Mus musculus: one gene and its partner. The protein of the gene in region 1 binds, or shares a complex with, the protein of each later gene. Links are inferred from orthologs where the notes say so. Each region holds a gene or a part of one and is shown in the gene's direction. Other genes may lie near its edges.

Evidence for each region. The genes of interacting proteins can lie anywhere in the genome.
Region 2: the proteins of Slc3a2 (region 1) and Slc7a11 are in contact, whole or in part, in a cryo-EM structure (PDB 7P9V), measured with the Homo sapiens proteins. The link is inferred for Mus musculus from reciprocal best matches to the Homo sapiens genes SLC3A2 and SLC7A11. Residues at the interface, in NP_002385.3 of Homo sapiens: Glu167, Leu170, Ala173, Trp178, Thr181, Arg182, Phe189, Trp190, Trp193, Met196, Leu197, Gly199, Ala200, Ile203, Ile204, Ala207, Arg209, Cys210, Glu212, Leu213, Lys299, Arg534, Gln559; in NP_055146.1 of Homo sapiens: Leu151, Phe154, Phe155, Ile156, Gln157, Cys158, Glu159, Pro161, Leu163, Ala164, Leu167, Ile168, Ala170, Val171, Thr174, Val175, Val178, Gln217, Gln219, Val360, His373, Thr487, Gln489, Ile490, Ile491, Glu493, Val494, Val495.

Annotation. Positions count from the first base shown.
Region 1 is NC_000085.6:8,709,351-8,717,230, reverse strand, and holds the start of Slc3a2 (4F2 cell-surface antigen heavy chain), read left to right. Parts: upstream 1-3,333; 5' UTR 3,334-3,478; coding exon of another isoform or gene 3,479-3,483; coding exon 3,484-3,889; intron 3,890-4,327; coding exon 4,328-4,501; intron 4,502-5,302; coding exon 5,303-5,397; intron 5,398-6,935; exon of another isoform or gene 6,936-7,250; coding exon of another isoform or gene 7,251-7,256; intron 7,257-7,447; coding exon 7,448-7,516; intron 7,517-7,622; coding exon 7,623-7,681; intron 7,682-7,820; coding exon 7,821-7,880. UniProt on the Homo sapiens protein: Acts as a chaperone that facilitates biogenesis and trafficking of functional transporters heterodimers to the plasma membrane.
Region 2 is NC_000069.6:50,438,418-50,446,424, reverse strand, and holds the start of Slc7a11 (cystine/glutamate transporter), read left to right. Parts: upstream 1-2,811; 5' UTR 2,812-3,163; coding exon 3,164-3,440; intron 3,441-7,509; coding exon 7,510-7,636; intron 7,637-8,007. UniProt on the Homo sapiens protein: Heterodimer with SLC3A2, that functions as an antiporter by mediating the exchange of extracellular anionic L-cystine and intracellular L-glutamate across the cellular plasma membrane.

The DNA of each region.
Region 1 (7,880 bases):
CCTGGTCACTTTGTACTTTGGTTACAAGTGATAAATGTCCTGTGGTTCAGTCCTATGGTCTTTGCATTCTCAGTGGCTCAGCTGTGCCCCTCCCTTTCTCACTTCTAAAAGATTCAGGTGCTCCTCTCACCAGTGTATTCCTGCTGACTTGGGTATTCCTGCACCGTTGGGCTTCAGTTCTCATTATGGCTTCACACAATCAACCCATCCCAGCATATCTATTGTATTTACCCCAGTTTTGTCTTTGCTGTTTGTTTTTGAGTCAGGGTCTTATGTCGCCCAGGCTGGCCTCAAACTTGTCGCGTGGTTGAGGGTTACTTTGAACTTTTCTTTTTTTTTTCTTTTTTTTTTTTTTTAAGATTTATTTATTTATTTATTTGTTATATGTAAGTACACTGTAGCTGTCCTCAGACACTCCAGAAGAGGGCGTCAGATCTCGTTACAGATGGTTGTGAGCCACCATGTGGTTGCTGGGATTTGAACTCCTGACCTTCGGAAGAGCAGTCGGGTGCTCTTACCCACTGAGCCATCTCACCAGCCCCTACTTTGAACTTTTCATGCCTCCACTTCCTGGGGTTTTAGGCCTGTGCCTCCTCTGTGCCTGGTTTATGTGGTGCTAAGGATAGAACTCAGGGCTTTCAAATGCTAAGCAAGCACTGGCTGAGCTCCACCCCCAGTCCTTCATCCTTCACTGCTTTGGTGTTGCAGATTGAACCCTGGGCCTTGCACATGGTAGGAAAGCACCGGTCTTCTGAACTGCATCGTCAGTCCTTTAAGTTTATATAGTCAACTGTGTTAGTTATTGTGTTCTATCCCTGGTAAGGGAAAGCAATCTACGTAGAGCATTGAGAGATGCTGTCACTTGAGTCAGAGCTTGAAGGAGGAAGAGTAACTTAGCAGGAAGATCCAAACAGCAGGACAGCATGCACAGGAGGCATTAAGAATGGAAACACCCTGTGTGTCGTGACTCTGGCAGGTGCTAGAAAGCTGCTGTGGCTGAACAGTAGTGATTAGGAAGGGTGCTGCTGAAAAGACTGATGGGAGCTCACGTCTCCTCTCTAAGATGCTTAGGAATAGATTTCTGCCACTTGGAGGTGGGGGCGGGGAGATACTGTGTTACCTTAAATTTTACTTACTTTGTGGAGGGCAGTGCGCATGTGTGGAGGGCAGTGCGCATGTGTGGAGGGCAGAAGACAGCTCCTGGGAATCAGTTCTCCTTTCACTGATCTTCACTGATCACTGAGGAGTGAGCTCAGGTTTGCTGGCTAGGCACCTTCACCAGAGGAACATCTTTTTTCTCTTTTTGGTCTTTTTTTTTTTAAAGATTTATTTATTCATTATATGTAAGTACACTGTAGCTGTCTTCAGACGCTCTCGTTAATGGATGGTTGTGAGCCACCATGTGGTTGCTGGGATTTGAACTCCGGACCTTCAGAAGAGCAGTAGGGTGCTCTTACCCACTGAGCCATCTCACCAGCCCTTTGGTTTGGTTTTTTGAGACAGGGTTTCTCTGTGTAGCCATGGCTGTCCTGGAACTCACTCTGTAGACCAGGCTGGCCTCGAACTCAGAGATCCACCTGCCTCTGCCTCCCGAGTGCTGGGATCAAAGGTGTGCGCCACCACGCCCGGCTCCAGATGAACATCTGGTTGGTTTGATCCATCTTGTTTTCAGTTTGGTTGATTGAAACACCATGTTTCTAATGAGCATTTCATCAAACCCTTTCAAGGAGTGCTTCTGCTTCACAGTCCACAAACCTTGAGCTTTCACGCTGTGTATAAACTCTGCATTGGACTTTTCTTATCTGTCATGCCCAGGGCAAGGTAGGACTCTTATCAACTATGAACACTAGCATGACCCTTAGCCTCTTCCCTCTTCCTAGGAGCTGGTGTATAGACTTTTCTCTAGTGAGGCCGGGGAGGACTTTGGGAATTCAAAAGGACAGTGGCAGGTGATGAGACTTTTCATATCCCTTCCTCTCTACTGTTCTGGCCTTGGCTTCTGCTTTCTTCCAAATACATAGCAATCTTGGCTGCCGGCCTACGTGGGGAGAGGGAGAAAGGACCTGTTGTTTCCTTCCGATTCTCTCTGAAAATAACCTAATTGGAACACAAAGTTCCTGAAATTGTTGGCACCTCCTAGAGTTGATGTTCACTTTTCACTTGTCCCTGCTGCTAACCCAGTCTGCCCCATTTACCCTTCCTCTTGCCAAGGACCTCTGCCGGGGGAATTTGAGAAACTTTCAAAGTGTGAGGGAACTAAGCTGGTTCCAGGGCCTAGCATAGTCAACTGATGTAGCCCGGCACACTAGAGGGTTTGAGAGTTATTGCAAGGTGGTTAAGAGTTAGAACAGGGGCTGGAGAGATGGCTCAGCAGTTAAGAGCACTCACTGCTCTTTCAAAGGTCCCGAGTTCAATTCCCAGGAACCACATGGTGGCTCACAACCATCTGTAACGAGTTCTGACGCCCTCTTCTGGTACATCTGAAGACAGCTACAGTGTAGTCACATATAATAAGTGAGTAAATAGTTCTTCTGGTGCATCTGAAGACAGCTACAGTGTAGTCACATATAATAAGTGAGTAAATAGTTAAAAAATAGTAAATAGTTAAAAAAAAAAGAAAAAAAGAGTTAGAACAGCTTGTATATTAAAAGGGTAGGTGCCTCAATACCTTCGGAATGTTTATTACAGCCCCATTAATCTCTTCTGGATGCCTGATTCCCAGTAATCCAACATTCTTGCTAGTAACTAGGGTAAGATAATAAGGGTAGTGACCACTTCAATTCTGCAGTTGAATTTTAAAATCAAGAAGAACGGATTAGAGTTGATCCTATGCAGTTGATGAAGCAAAGGATTGGAGTGGGTGCCCAGTAAATAGTTGCTGCCTGAGGAATTAAATTCAAGGAGTCTTGAAAGGTGAGTACGTGTAAGCCCCGAGGAGAATCCAGGAACTCAGCTAAGTCCGGAGTATGAGAAGATGTACGTAAAGCAGAAGTGAGATGTAGTGCCAAGGTCTGTGTGAAGTTGGGGAGATCAGCCTGAGCCGTGCTTGGGGCGAAGGGATCACGATGTGGATGGAGACTGGTGTCATCTTGTGGAGAGAAAAGAGGCCTCGCAGGGTAAGGGGCCGGAAGGTCGGAGGAGGGGCTTTGAAACCTGGTCAAGACAAATTCACGTTTGTTATTCTAAGGGTTTCTGACCACAAGCTCCCCTTCCCAGACTCTTGCAGGAATAAGCGTTAGGGATAGACGGGAGTATTCAGCGAGGCTGGAGGTGCGAAAAGACTTCTCTGCATCTCTTTAAGAGGCGGACCGGGGCGGAGTCCTGGGTCACTTCCCCGCCGCCACACCCGCCCAGCGGCAGAAGCAGTTAGGAAGCTCTGCTAGCCTCACGGCCACGGGACGCCTCTCTGAACGGGGATCCAGGCAGGATTAGAGCTGCCTCACTGACTACAGGCCGTGTCGTGTCACCGTTTCTGCAGGCACCATGAGCCAGGACACCGAAGTGGACATGAAAGATGTGGAGCTGAACGAGCTAGAACCGGAGAAGCAGCCCATGAATGCAGCGGACGGGGCGGCGGCCGGGGAGAAGAACGGTCTGGTGAAGATCAAGGTGGCGGAGGACGAGACGGAGGCCGGGGTCAAGTTCACCGGCTTATCCAAGGAGGAGCTACTGAAGGTAGCGGGCAGCCCTGGCTGGGTGCGCACCCGCTGGGCGCTGCTGCTGCTCTTCTGGCTCGGTTGGCTGGGCATGCTGGCGGGCGCCGTGGTTATCATCGTTCGGGCGCCGCGCTGCCGTGAGCTGCCTGTACAGAGGTGGTGGCACAAGGGCGCCCTCTACCGCATCGGCGACCTTCAGGCCTTTGTAGGCCGGGATGCGGGAGGCATAGCTGGTGAGTAGGGTGTGCACCCTCATCCCTTGCCCCCATGAATCCCTCGTTTAATCGGGCATTCTGCTGCTTTTTTCCTTCCTCCTCGTCTTCTCTAGAACGCTGGTGATTCTTTACTGCAACCTATTTTTTTTGGGACGACTCCCTGGCAAAAATCCCCCCCCCTTTCTTTAAAAAAAAAAAAAAAAAAACGCTAGCCGGACCCCTACTTCTTCCTAAGGGTGCCTGACTCAGCACATCATCTTTCTCCTCTCCCCTCCCCCAACCACGCGGCCCTGAGCCAGTTCAAACCAGTTTCTGAAGTAATGTGTGAGACTCCTTGCGTCAGCTACTTTGTCTCATGATCCAACCCGCGTCAGAGGGAGTCGGGAAGTGGTGGAGAGAATGTGGAGGCTGGAGGCTTTTCATGCCCTATTGGTTAACCCAACCCTCTCCTCCTAGGTCTGAAGAGCCATCTGGAGTACTTGAGCACCCTGAAGGTGAAGGGCCTGGTGTTAGGCCCAATTCACAAGAACCAGAAGGATGAAATCAATGAAACCGACCTGAAACAGATTAATCCCACTTTGGGCTCCCAGGAAGATTTTAAAGACCTTCTACAAAGTGCCAAGAAAAAGAGTAGGTCTTTCTAAGGAACTAGAAAGGGTTTGGCATTCTGGCCCAGAAACAGGATAGAGTTTTTGTCTGATTTTTCTCCTAACTGGCTCAGTTTTTTTGTGTCAGGCACAAGGGGGAATATGTTATGATTTACACTAAAAAATGTGCTTCATGCGTGAGCGTAATTTTTATGTATTTATTTTGGTTTTGGTTCTCAGGTAGGGTCTCACCATGTAATTGGTTGGCCTGTACCTGACTACCATGACCAGGCCGGATGAGAGTTTACAGAGCTCCCCTGGTCCCGAGTGCTAGACTTAAGTGTGTCACCATGGCTCGATAAAATAAATGGCTTTTAAATGTATAAAGTAGATCCTATATATAGAAGAGATTCAAATGCTGCTTTAGAGTTCACTATAGAGGGCTGACAACGTAGCTCAGTTTGTAAGAGTGCTTGTCTAGGATCCATGAAGACCTGAGTTTGATTCCTCAGCACAACACAAGCAGCATGTGCCTATAACCCCACACTTGGGAAGGAGATGTAGGGGCTTATTTATCCTCAGGCAGCCCGCCCACATACACAGAACCCTGACTTCATGGGAGGGGAAAATAAGAAAGAAACCAAAACCTCAGTATGGAAACTTGTGTGTGTGTGTGTGTGTGGGCGGAGGAGGAACTGCTCTAGTATAAAACCACCTGAGGGCTTTTGTGGGTTTCCTTCAGATTCTGTGCAAACCGTATGTAGGTTCACCTAGTAACCTGTGTTCAAGTTCCTTGTTTCCTCTTCTTCCCCAAAGGAGTTCTCTCAACTCGTTATTTTTCTAGGCATTCACATCATTTTGGACCTCACTCCCAACTACCAGGGCCAGAATGCGTGGTTCCTCCCTGCTCAGGCTGACATTGTAGCCACCAAAATGAAGGTGAGGTTTTATGGCCGACAGCATACAGATGTTGGTGCTGTGTGGATTTATTCACAGCAAGCCTCCTGTGCACTGTGTGGTTCTCCCAAGCAGGAATACCTCTTCCCATAGCCGGAGGGATAGGCCCAGGTGCACGGTGTTCTTCTTGTTTCTGTTCTGACTGCTTTGTGTGTGTGTGTGTGTGTGTATGTGTTTCCTTTACTCTAGAAGTGAGGCTGTGCCAGGAAGGGAATTTCTCAGATGTCAGTCTGGAACTGGAAGTTTAATTTTTCTTTTTGTGATAGGAAGTCTTTTCTTTCTCTGTGGGAACCCTGACCTGACTGGTTTCCCAGTTTTTGTTTGATGTATTTGGAACTGAGCCCAGTCTGAAATTATAAGTACTAGAGTCTTACTGTGTATCTGGTATTTTATCTTCCCCCATATTTTATTATTTTTTAAAGAGTTAACTCCACTATGAATGCTTTTTAAGATTTGTTTTTATGCATGAGTGTTTGTGCACTATGTGCATGTTTGGTACCCCAGCACTTGGGAGTTTAAGGTTATCCTCAGCAATGGAGATCTAGAACACAAATCTCCCAGCAACTAGCAAGAGCCAAATTGGGTGATTATAGGAGTCTCCAGAGGCAAGACAGAAAATAGAAAGGGTATTGGACAGTCAAGAAAGGATATTGGATCCCCTGGAGCTGAAGTTACAGATAGTTGTGAGCTGCTGCTACGTAGGTGCTGGGAACTGAACCTGGCTCCTCTGCAAAAGGGGCAAGCTCTTGACTCTGCGGAAGCTATTACCACTGAGCTCTCTCTCTAGCCTCCTGTCCCAAGTATTTTATAGCTGTTTTCTAATTTGTTTAGTAAACCCACAAAATATTGTCTGTTACTGACAATCTGTTACTGAAGAAACTGAGATGCAGTCACTTCATGTATTCCAAACCGGAAGTCTCAAGGAGTCTTCTCTGGTCTGCCTTTACCTTGAGGTAGTGGCTTAAACTTGGTACTCACCAGGCTAGGGTAAAGCTTCTAATGTCATCCCAGCTTCTGATGCCTACGTTTTAGGACACTGGCAGGTCCAGGGTGGACATAACAAAGGAAAGGCAGGTGCTGACACTTTTGGATTCTTAAGTATGTGGGGGAGACTCCTATAATCACCCAGTTTGGCTCTTGCTAGTTGCTGCGAGATTTGTGTTCTAGATCTCCATTGCTGAGGGTAATCCTAAACTCCCATGTGCTGGGATCCTATACTTAATAGGAAGTTTGTTAAAAGTTACTGATAAGAGAGTTCAAAGTAGTAGAGAAAGCCTGTAGCCTACACTTGAGAGTTGGCGGGAGGCAGGAGGATGAGAAGTTAAGCACAGCCTCAGTTATGCAGTGAGTTGGAGACTGGTCTGAAGTCAGAAAGAAAAGTTACTGATATGTCTTTCAGGTGGTAGCCTCAGGTGAAGATGGGAGAGCAAGTGAGAAGGGAAGAAAGGAAGTGTGGGGCTGGGTTCTGTGCTGTCAGTTGAAGCCAGGGTTTAAACCTTCAGGCCTGGGCCTGTTCTACAGAGCTGGCTTCTTTTCAGATGTCTCAACAGCCCTCAGGCTGTGTTTTGAATTTCAAACTTCTCATTCTTGGCCTTGCTCCCAGCAGCTCTTGTAGAAGAGCATACACTCTAAACCTCAGGAAACAAAGAGAGGAGCAAGTACATTTGCCTCAGGGTCCTATCTGTGCTCTTCCCCAGTTACAATCTTGGCCGCGTCTTCTCTCAGCCAATTTCTTCATCTCCAATTTGAGGGCATTTTCACCCCACATCCTAAGTGTTAAGTGTTAGAGCTGTGCGTGCATGTTTTCTCTTGGGTCATTTCTGTAGCTGTTAAAAATGAAGGTATGTGATTTGCCAAAGGCAAGACAGAAAATAGACAAATGCTATTACACAGTAAATGCATGGGTGGGGCACCAAGGGCTAACCTTTGACACTGGGAGACTGAACCCTGTTTACTCTAGGTCCCAGGGAAATTTGAGGTAGGTGAGGGCTTGCTTGTATGTTGATCTTGCCTGTTCTTTTGTCCCCTGTAGGAAGCTCTGAGTTCTTGGTTGCAGGACGGTGTGGATGGTTTCCAATTCCGGGATGTGGGAAAGCTGATGGTGAGTGCCCTTTCTGCATTGAGAGGCAAAAAGCTGTGGTGAGAAGAGTGGGTCTCAGCCACGGCGAGGTGGTGTTCCCTGTTCTGACTCTGCTTTTCTCTACTAGAATGCACCCTTGTACTTGGCTGAGTGGCAGAATATCACCAAGAACTTAAGTGAGGACAGGTAGGTACCCAGCACCCCTGCCTGGCTGAGCCCATTGTGAGAGCCTCGAGAGGCGAGTTTCCTAGTCTCGAGAACTCTTCTCTTTTATTCTTTATCTCCTGACATTTTCTAATCACACTCCTATCCTTGCTTTGTGCAGGCTTTTGATTGCAGGGACTGAGTCCTCTGACCTGCAGCAAATTGTCAACATACTTGAATC
Region 2 (8,007 bases), on another chromosome or scaffold:
GACCTTTCCCCTCAGCTCAGGTCTCATTCTGATGAGCTGCATTTGGAAAAATAATTATGTTTTATTAATCATTGGCCACACCTAAATTATACAGCCACGTTTATACACATGGGGCTGTTACCTTTAGCATAGCATGTTAGCTAGCATTGCATATCACATGTGGGATTCTTTTAAGGAACTGAGGACATTCCTTGAAAAATTTATTCACAATCCCTAAAATGCTCAAAATAAGGCAGAAAGCAGGAGGAAGACAGTAAGTGTATTTGCTCTATGACATACATATACTTGAAGACCAACCAATTCTTTGATTATAAGGTTAACACTGGTGATTATAAAGGCATGTTAACATTAAAGGTAATTCAATATTTTCTTTGAAACCTGTAATTTTTATTTTTGTAAAATTGTAGGTGTTTCAGAGAGATATACAAAGGTTTTTTATTAACTGTGTGCAGTTTTGAAGAAAGTTGGAATCTCAGTCTCATACAGGATAGTACCACCTTCTTGGCTATTAGTATAATTTTAGAATATTTTTCTCCATAAATTCCTATAAAAATTACTGAGGAGGAGAATGTTATTTAGAATTGGAAGAACATTTTTTCTCTCCTTTAAACTGTTTCCAACATCCTGTCTTAATAGCCCCCAGTCTTACTAGTCCAACCATTTATAATTTAGTGGTCAAAGCCTGGTGCCATGGCCAGGACAGAGCACTGGTGCCTGGGGTCTTCATGCTTCACTTTAAACTTTTATCTCTTTGGAATTATTGTTCCCTTTTGAGGAAACAAAAGCTTCCTGCGCCCTGTCTATGCTCATTCATCTGGAGAATTATGTGAGTGGAAGTTCACTCAAGAACAGGAGACATGGAACAGAGAAGGGAGAGTCCCTCATGCTCATTAATCAGGAGAATTATGTGAGAGGACATTTGAGCAAGAACAGGAGAGATGGAACAGGGCGGGCAGGCGGTGGAGAAGTCCTCCGATTTCCTGTTGAGGAATCTGTACAGGATTGAGTAAGGAACTTTCCCCATTTATTATTTTTTTGGAATAAAAACGCTGAAAAAAAGTATTAATTTGGGCTTTATAAAAATGATAATTTGTAGATCCAAAGCAAATTACACAGAAGGTGGGTAGGTCATGTAAAAGGGAAGTCATGTGACCTCGGTTATTCGTGTGATAAGGCAATTATGTCATGGCATTTTCTCAGATAAGGACCTAGCAGAAAGGCTCTGACATTTTCCACGATTCCTTTCCAGGTTATTTCCTGCCTCCATCATCCCCCCCATCCTTCACCCCTTCCCCTTACCCCTTTCCCCTCCCCCTCCAGCCAACCTTGCTTCCACGGAGATTTTCTGTTGGTTGTTTTTATTCCGAGATTCAAAAGCATATTTAATCATGGGTCTGAACACAGCTTCAGGATAATGATGGCATTGGGATTCTTCTCATTAAATTCAAACCACAGGGACCTGGTGCCGAGACTGATAGCTGAGATGCTTTATTTTCTTTTGGTAATTTTTTATTTTTATTTTTATTTTACACATAAGACACTTGATTAGAAGCAAAACGTTTCAAGTTTGTGTTTAATTTTTTAAAAAAAAAGAAATTTTTTCAATGTAAATATTTTAACCCCACTTTGAAGTTTTAATGTACTTTTATATGTTTAAATTTCTTTTTAACTGACAAAGATGAAAGCTGTGTATGTGAATAGGGTGTAAAGTTTCAGCACATGTGCCCATTGTAGAATGCTCAGAGTAAACACTTCTATCTCCTTAAGATGTCATTATTTCTTTATGTAAAAAACACATTCTTTTAGCTTTCTGAAATGGACTTGTACACTCTGTTACAGTCACCGAAAATTTCCGGCTTTGAGCTAACTAAAAGTTAGTACCTGTTGATTGTAATACATTTCAAATTATAATCAGAATAGCTTATAGATCCAAAAAATATGCCCTGTCATCTCCTTCCTTTCTCCAACTATTATAATGGGACTCCCTTCTCAAGCTCTTGCTCTGTGCGTGTCTTCATGCAATTATAAGTATTGCCTAAGATTCAAAGAGGAGTCTTTTTAATTCGATGGAGCAACATGCAAATGAAGACCGAGTCCTTCTACCTAGTTCAGGAAATCACGCTGTGCTGACAAGAATCAGAAAAAGACTGTTTTCTGCAGTCACTATGATCTTTCAACTTCTCAAACTTAGGTGGTGATCTTAAACACCCTTGTATTACAGGTCTTAAGAAATAATTGTGTCTGTTCATGCGGAGCTGTATGTAGCCACGGCTCTCGTGTGCAGAAACTTTCTGACTTTGTAAATATTAGATTTGACAGTGTTGCTAGGAAACACCCGGGGAAGTAAGGAGAATACAAATTATGAAGTATAAACTTTGCTGTTGCAAACAGAGCAGCCCTAAGGCACTTTCCATTGTCAAAACAGCTGTGAATACAACATTTTTTATGCGCGCCTTAAAGTTAAGAAGCAACTCCTTAAAACGAAGTAATTGTTTTCTGTTTCATTTTCCAACTTCTTTTCTCTCTCTGAGAGCGGAGCTGCTTAAAGTCACCGGGACAGTGTCTATTCCCTGGTTCCCTGTTTACTTCTTCTGGATTGGCTAAGCCCCTCTTTAAGAGTATGCTTTGTTCTGGGAAATGCTTTGGATCCATTGAGCAACCCACAGGCTACTGTTAAAAAAAAAAAAAAAAAAAAAGAGCTGAGTAATGTTGGCGCTTTCTCAAGCTGGAGTTTTCTCATGTGGCTGATGCAAACCTGGAGAATTTGCATCATCATGCAGCCCAGTAAGTTGGTGTGACAGGCGGTTGCTTAAATACGGAGCCTTCCACGAGGAAGCTGAGCTGGTGTGTAATGATAGGGCAGCAGCCGCGGCTGCAGCTAACTGACTGCCCCTGGAGCCGGTGCCACACAGGTGCTCCGAGGAGCAAGAGGAGTAATTATAGAGCCAGCGAAGGCTGAAACACACCTCTGAGTTCTCACCTGTGGACACAATAGTGTAGAGCCAGTCGGTGATAGCAAAGGGGAAGTCACGACCGAACAGTGATCAGTCACTTCTTAGAGAAACAAGTTAAAAGGGTTTGTTTTGTTTTGTTTTATTTTGTCTTGTTTTGTTTTTCCCCCTCTGTTTTCTTTTTCATCCCCCTCCTCTGGTGTGACACTGCCATGGTCAGAAAGCCAGTTGTGGCCACCATCTCCAAAGGAGGTTACCTGCAGGGCAATATGAGCGGGAGGCTGCCCTCCATGGGGGACCAAGAGCCACCTGGGCAGGAGAAGGTAGTTCTGAAAAAGAAGATCACTTTGCTGAGGGGGGTCTCCATCATCATCGGCACCGTCATCGGATCAGGCATCTTCATCTCCCCCAAGGGCATACTCCAGAACACGGGCAGCGTGGGCATGTCCCTGGTTTTCTGGTCTGCCTGTGGAGTACTGTCACTTTTTGGTGAGTGCGCTTCTTCTCTGGGGTGTGAGTGTGTGTAGCTGTGTGGCTCTCTGGGAGAGCGAAGGGTTATTTCTGAGGAGTAAATGAATGGGCAAATACTACAGGAAATATTTGGAATTTTTGTTGTTGTTGTTGTTCAGGTATGTGCACTACCCAAACACACTGTCCACTGTTGGCACAAGACTGAACCCTCTCAGATTCCTTCCTGCAGGCTATACTCTGCTTTCCTGCCTGAGACAGACTCTGGCAGCTTTTTTTTTTTTTTTTTCTGGTTTGCTGAGAGAAGGAAAAAAAAAAAAAAAAACAAAAAACAAAAAAACAAAAAACAAAAAAAACCTAACTTTGATGACCCAAAAAACCAAGCCTTCCTTCCGTGCAGAGGGCTTGGGTTTGTGAGTCTTGTTTAGAGCATAGTTCTGGCAGCTGGCTCGCTGGAAGAAACACCTGTGCGGTGCAGCCAGTGTGGCCTATTTACACGCGGAACTGAACGTTCGGAACACTGTCACGGGCCTTTTACTTGCTAAACAAATGGGTGGCATTCTCTGCCTTTTTTAATATTTTAAATTCGTAGGCTTGTCCGTTTCTAATACTATGCTTTCAGAAGTCCTTGGGAAGATATGTGTTTGATGTGTCTCCTCCGTCTCCATAAATGGGGCAAAGGTTTCAACTTTTTTCCCCTTGTTTTTTTTTTTTTTCTTTTTCCTTCTTACTGCCTTTAAGGACATTTCTCATAATTTCTCGTTATTTGTTTGCAAGCTTCACTTGGGTGTCAGTCTTCCCTCCTTGCCTGGATCTGTTTTCTTCATCTGTATTTTACTAGGTCTCTGGGGAAACAGATACTTTCTCTGCCCATTCAATGAAGTTCATCTAACCTGAACTGGTATTACTGTGCTTATTATTTTTTTCTCTTTAAAATGTACGTTTCTCTGATGGGATTGAGGGTTAATATTGCAAAGGAAATAATTGCTCCTTGATCAGGAGGGCAAATCAACATAAAACTCCTTTCAAGTTCATTGTAAAGGCCACAAGAACCTGGGAATGGCCAATTATTTTAAAATTTGACTTATATTACCAGGCAATACTTTGGTTCCAAAGTAGCCTACACTTGGGAGTTACTTTGTTAACCTGGAACCAAGTTCTTCTGGGACCAAGTGCAAACTCTTGTTCCATTCCTTCTTTCATTCCAGGTCTTGTGATACTTTAAATACTGATTGAGGGAAAGTTTCCTGCCTAGAGAACTCACATATCTGTTTTTAGGAAGGGGGCATTTCAAATAATCTTGAAAGCAGTCTTGCTATAGAAAGATCTATGAAGAGATTACTTTACGAACCTAGAGAACTTGGGAACATCATTTGTGTGAATAGATTATGCTTTATGAGATGTTTGGTGACAGCTGTCCCTTTTCTTCATTCTTTACAGTTATTAAAAACTCGAACAGAATCCTTATCATTATTAATATTAAAGTGGTTCTGACATATGCAGGTTCAGATAAGCAAGGAGAAACTCAATTGTTGATCTTAAATGACTGTGTACCCTCAGGCTTCAAGCGTCTTACAGTACTTGATATATTTAGAATAAATCAATATCTAATCAGAAAAACTACAACCAGTTCCTTGAACTTTGCATACTTGTACACAGGCAGCTCCCACTGTGTGATTTGATTTTCGCACACAATCAATGCTTATTCAGATGCTGTAAAATAAAATGCTCGGAATGCTGAGCTAGTTAAAGGCACACTGACTTGTATGGTGATAATGTGCTTATGAATAAGTCCGCCATCTTTGTTGGAAGCTCAAGAAACTACAGAGCTAAAGGGTTGTGATGTAGCTTGGAGTGGGCGTTTGACTGCCCGCTTCAGAGACGTTACTGCTACTTAAATTACTGGCAGCTTTTTGTCACAAAGTCTTCACAAATAAGAAGCAAAGCGAGATATAAGGGGAAAATTCTTCTTTTATTAAAACTCTAGAACTTAGGGGTGTAAACATTTTCAAGTCAAGAATGTGGACCTAGATGGTCCCCAACTTAAGATGGTTCAGTATATGATATATTTATTTTTAAATTTCCAGTGGTAGATGCTAGTAATTGGTTATTCAATAAATTACTTGAGCTGTCTTAAACCGTTATAAAATGAACTTTTATAGGATAATGTTGTCTAGCTCCAGACAACTGTGTAGGATGGTTCCTAGGCTATGTGTGGTACATACAGTTCCCACTGACTGGCATTTAGAATGTAACATGTTTTGGCAAAGTTACCCCTCTGGAAGGGGAGGAGCATCTGTGTTTGGTTTTACAACATTTTGAGCACCAAGGTCAACACGTGGACTTTTATAGCCTGCTTTGAACTTCTTTCCATCTGGGCACATAGCTATGGAGCTTGAGACCTTTAAATGAAAATTCCATTCCCCCGGAACTCAATTTAAACCTAGGGCAAAGCATACAGAGGTCTGGCCATTGATTCCCTGACAGTAAATTTCAAGGTCTTTAAGAGTCTTTCCAATAACAAGGTTATATAGGTTGCTTTTCTGGACAATCTACCAACATGGTGACCATTATTTCCAAAAGAAGTTTGCTAATTGTCTTTAGGTCTAAGTTAATGAAGTACTTAAGTAGCTGTCCGTGACGCCACCACTTTAGCACCTGGAGCATTGGAAAGCAATACAACTTCTTGGATTGTTCTTTTGGATGGAGTCTGGTCTCCGAAGATGAGTCTAGGGTGTGGTCTTCGTGTCTTTTCTCATTTGTTCACTCTTAAAAAATATCCTCCAGGTGACCCTGGCAAATTTTTCAAATCCTAGTTATTTTGAGCATCTATAGGAGGCACTACTGATGAGCAATTACTTTCCACACATGGAGCCCCTTTAGGTGCTTGGGCATAAATGTTTGAGCGCTAAGCCATGTAGACACAGGTGTTTGATTGTTTGGTTGATTGATTAATTGACTTTTGGATGAAATTAAGATTTATTTTTTATGTCCTTCCTAACTATGAAGCAGTTGGTAAGTAAAGTAACATCATGTGGTGTGTTAGCTGTGTCAGTCAATCCTATCTGTGTGCCACTTTCCCACCGTTACATCCAGAATGCTTTTATGAGATGAAAAATTCATGTTTTCACTTCAAAGGGTGCGAAACTTAGGGCCTGGGGAATTTAAATATAACTTTCCCAATCTTATACGAGTGTTATTTTTTTTTAAACACTCACATCTTAGTTTATAATTTATTTTCATTACATAAATGACTGTACATAATGGAATTTCTATTTTACAACAGTCATTCTTTTAACCGTCTGGGTGTACATCTCAAAAGCATCATCCAGGATAACCATTTCTAGGAACAGTACAACTGAGTCAAGATTCGTTTTGCTGACAAAGCATATTGTATCAATTAGCTGAAATCTCACACGGCATGTACTCTCTTCTTTCCCAAAGAACGGATCATCTATATTTTGATATGCCACAGAATTATTAAAATACCATAGTGAGTCCAGTTTGAGGGAATACTTTGTCTTAGTATGAGGTGGTGGTGTTACTCAAATAATAGGTCAGCATCATTGACATCTGCCTTTACTTTTCCTTTATCCTCTGGTTTCTGACCACACATTCTGTATCATGTTTGTAGGTACCATTTCAAACACAATTCCTTTCCTTACATTTTTTTTTCAGTTCATTTTCTTGGTTTTTATGTGTGTGGGTGTTTTGCTTCTGCACATGCCTGGTGCTCAAGGAGGCCAGGGGAGGACCTTGGATCCCCTGGAACTGGAGACACAGATGGTTGTGAGTCCCCAGGTGGATGCTGGGAATTGAGTTTGGGTCTTCTGGATGAGAGGCCCGTGCTCTTAACTGCTGAGCTATCTTTCCAGTCTTTGGCTTTTCTGTTTTATTAGTAGGAGGCAGGTCTCAAGTGTGAGGAAGTTAAAAGAGGAACTTGGTGGGTCTCAGTTAGAAGATGACAACTGTTCCCATGAAGGTCATTCTAGGCACAGAGCATGCAACCCAGACAATGATGTGTGTATTCTATCACAAGACTACTCAATGCTATGTCAATTTTGTGTCTTTTTATTATCACCTTTCATAGGAGCCCTGTCCTATGCAGAATTAGGTACAAGCATAAAGAAATCTGGTGGTCATTACACATACATTCTGGAGGTCTTTGGTCCTTTGCTGGCTTTTGTTCGAGTCTGGGTGGAACTGCTCGTAATACGGTAAGGAGATGGAAACAATTAAGGGAAAATCCACCTATTCATCTCATCACTTTCCTGGATCCTCTTGACTGCTTGAACTAATTACAGATGTGTGTCATGTGACTTAGTTGAACAAATACAGACCCTAAGGCATAAAAAAAGTTTTCTTTAAATTCCAACTTTTGTTTATAAATATTTATGTTTTTCTAGAAAAGGCATTTATCTGAGATGAGGGGAATCTTCAAAATTCACTTTGATAAATTATACCTTGGGCTGAGCAGACACTATATAATGTGCTAGGAATTACAGGGTTATTTTTTTTTATTGTTGATTATGTCATCAGGACATTTAACTTTACTTTTATGACTAAGAAATGTCTGTGCCAAACAACT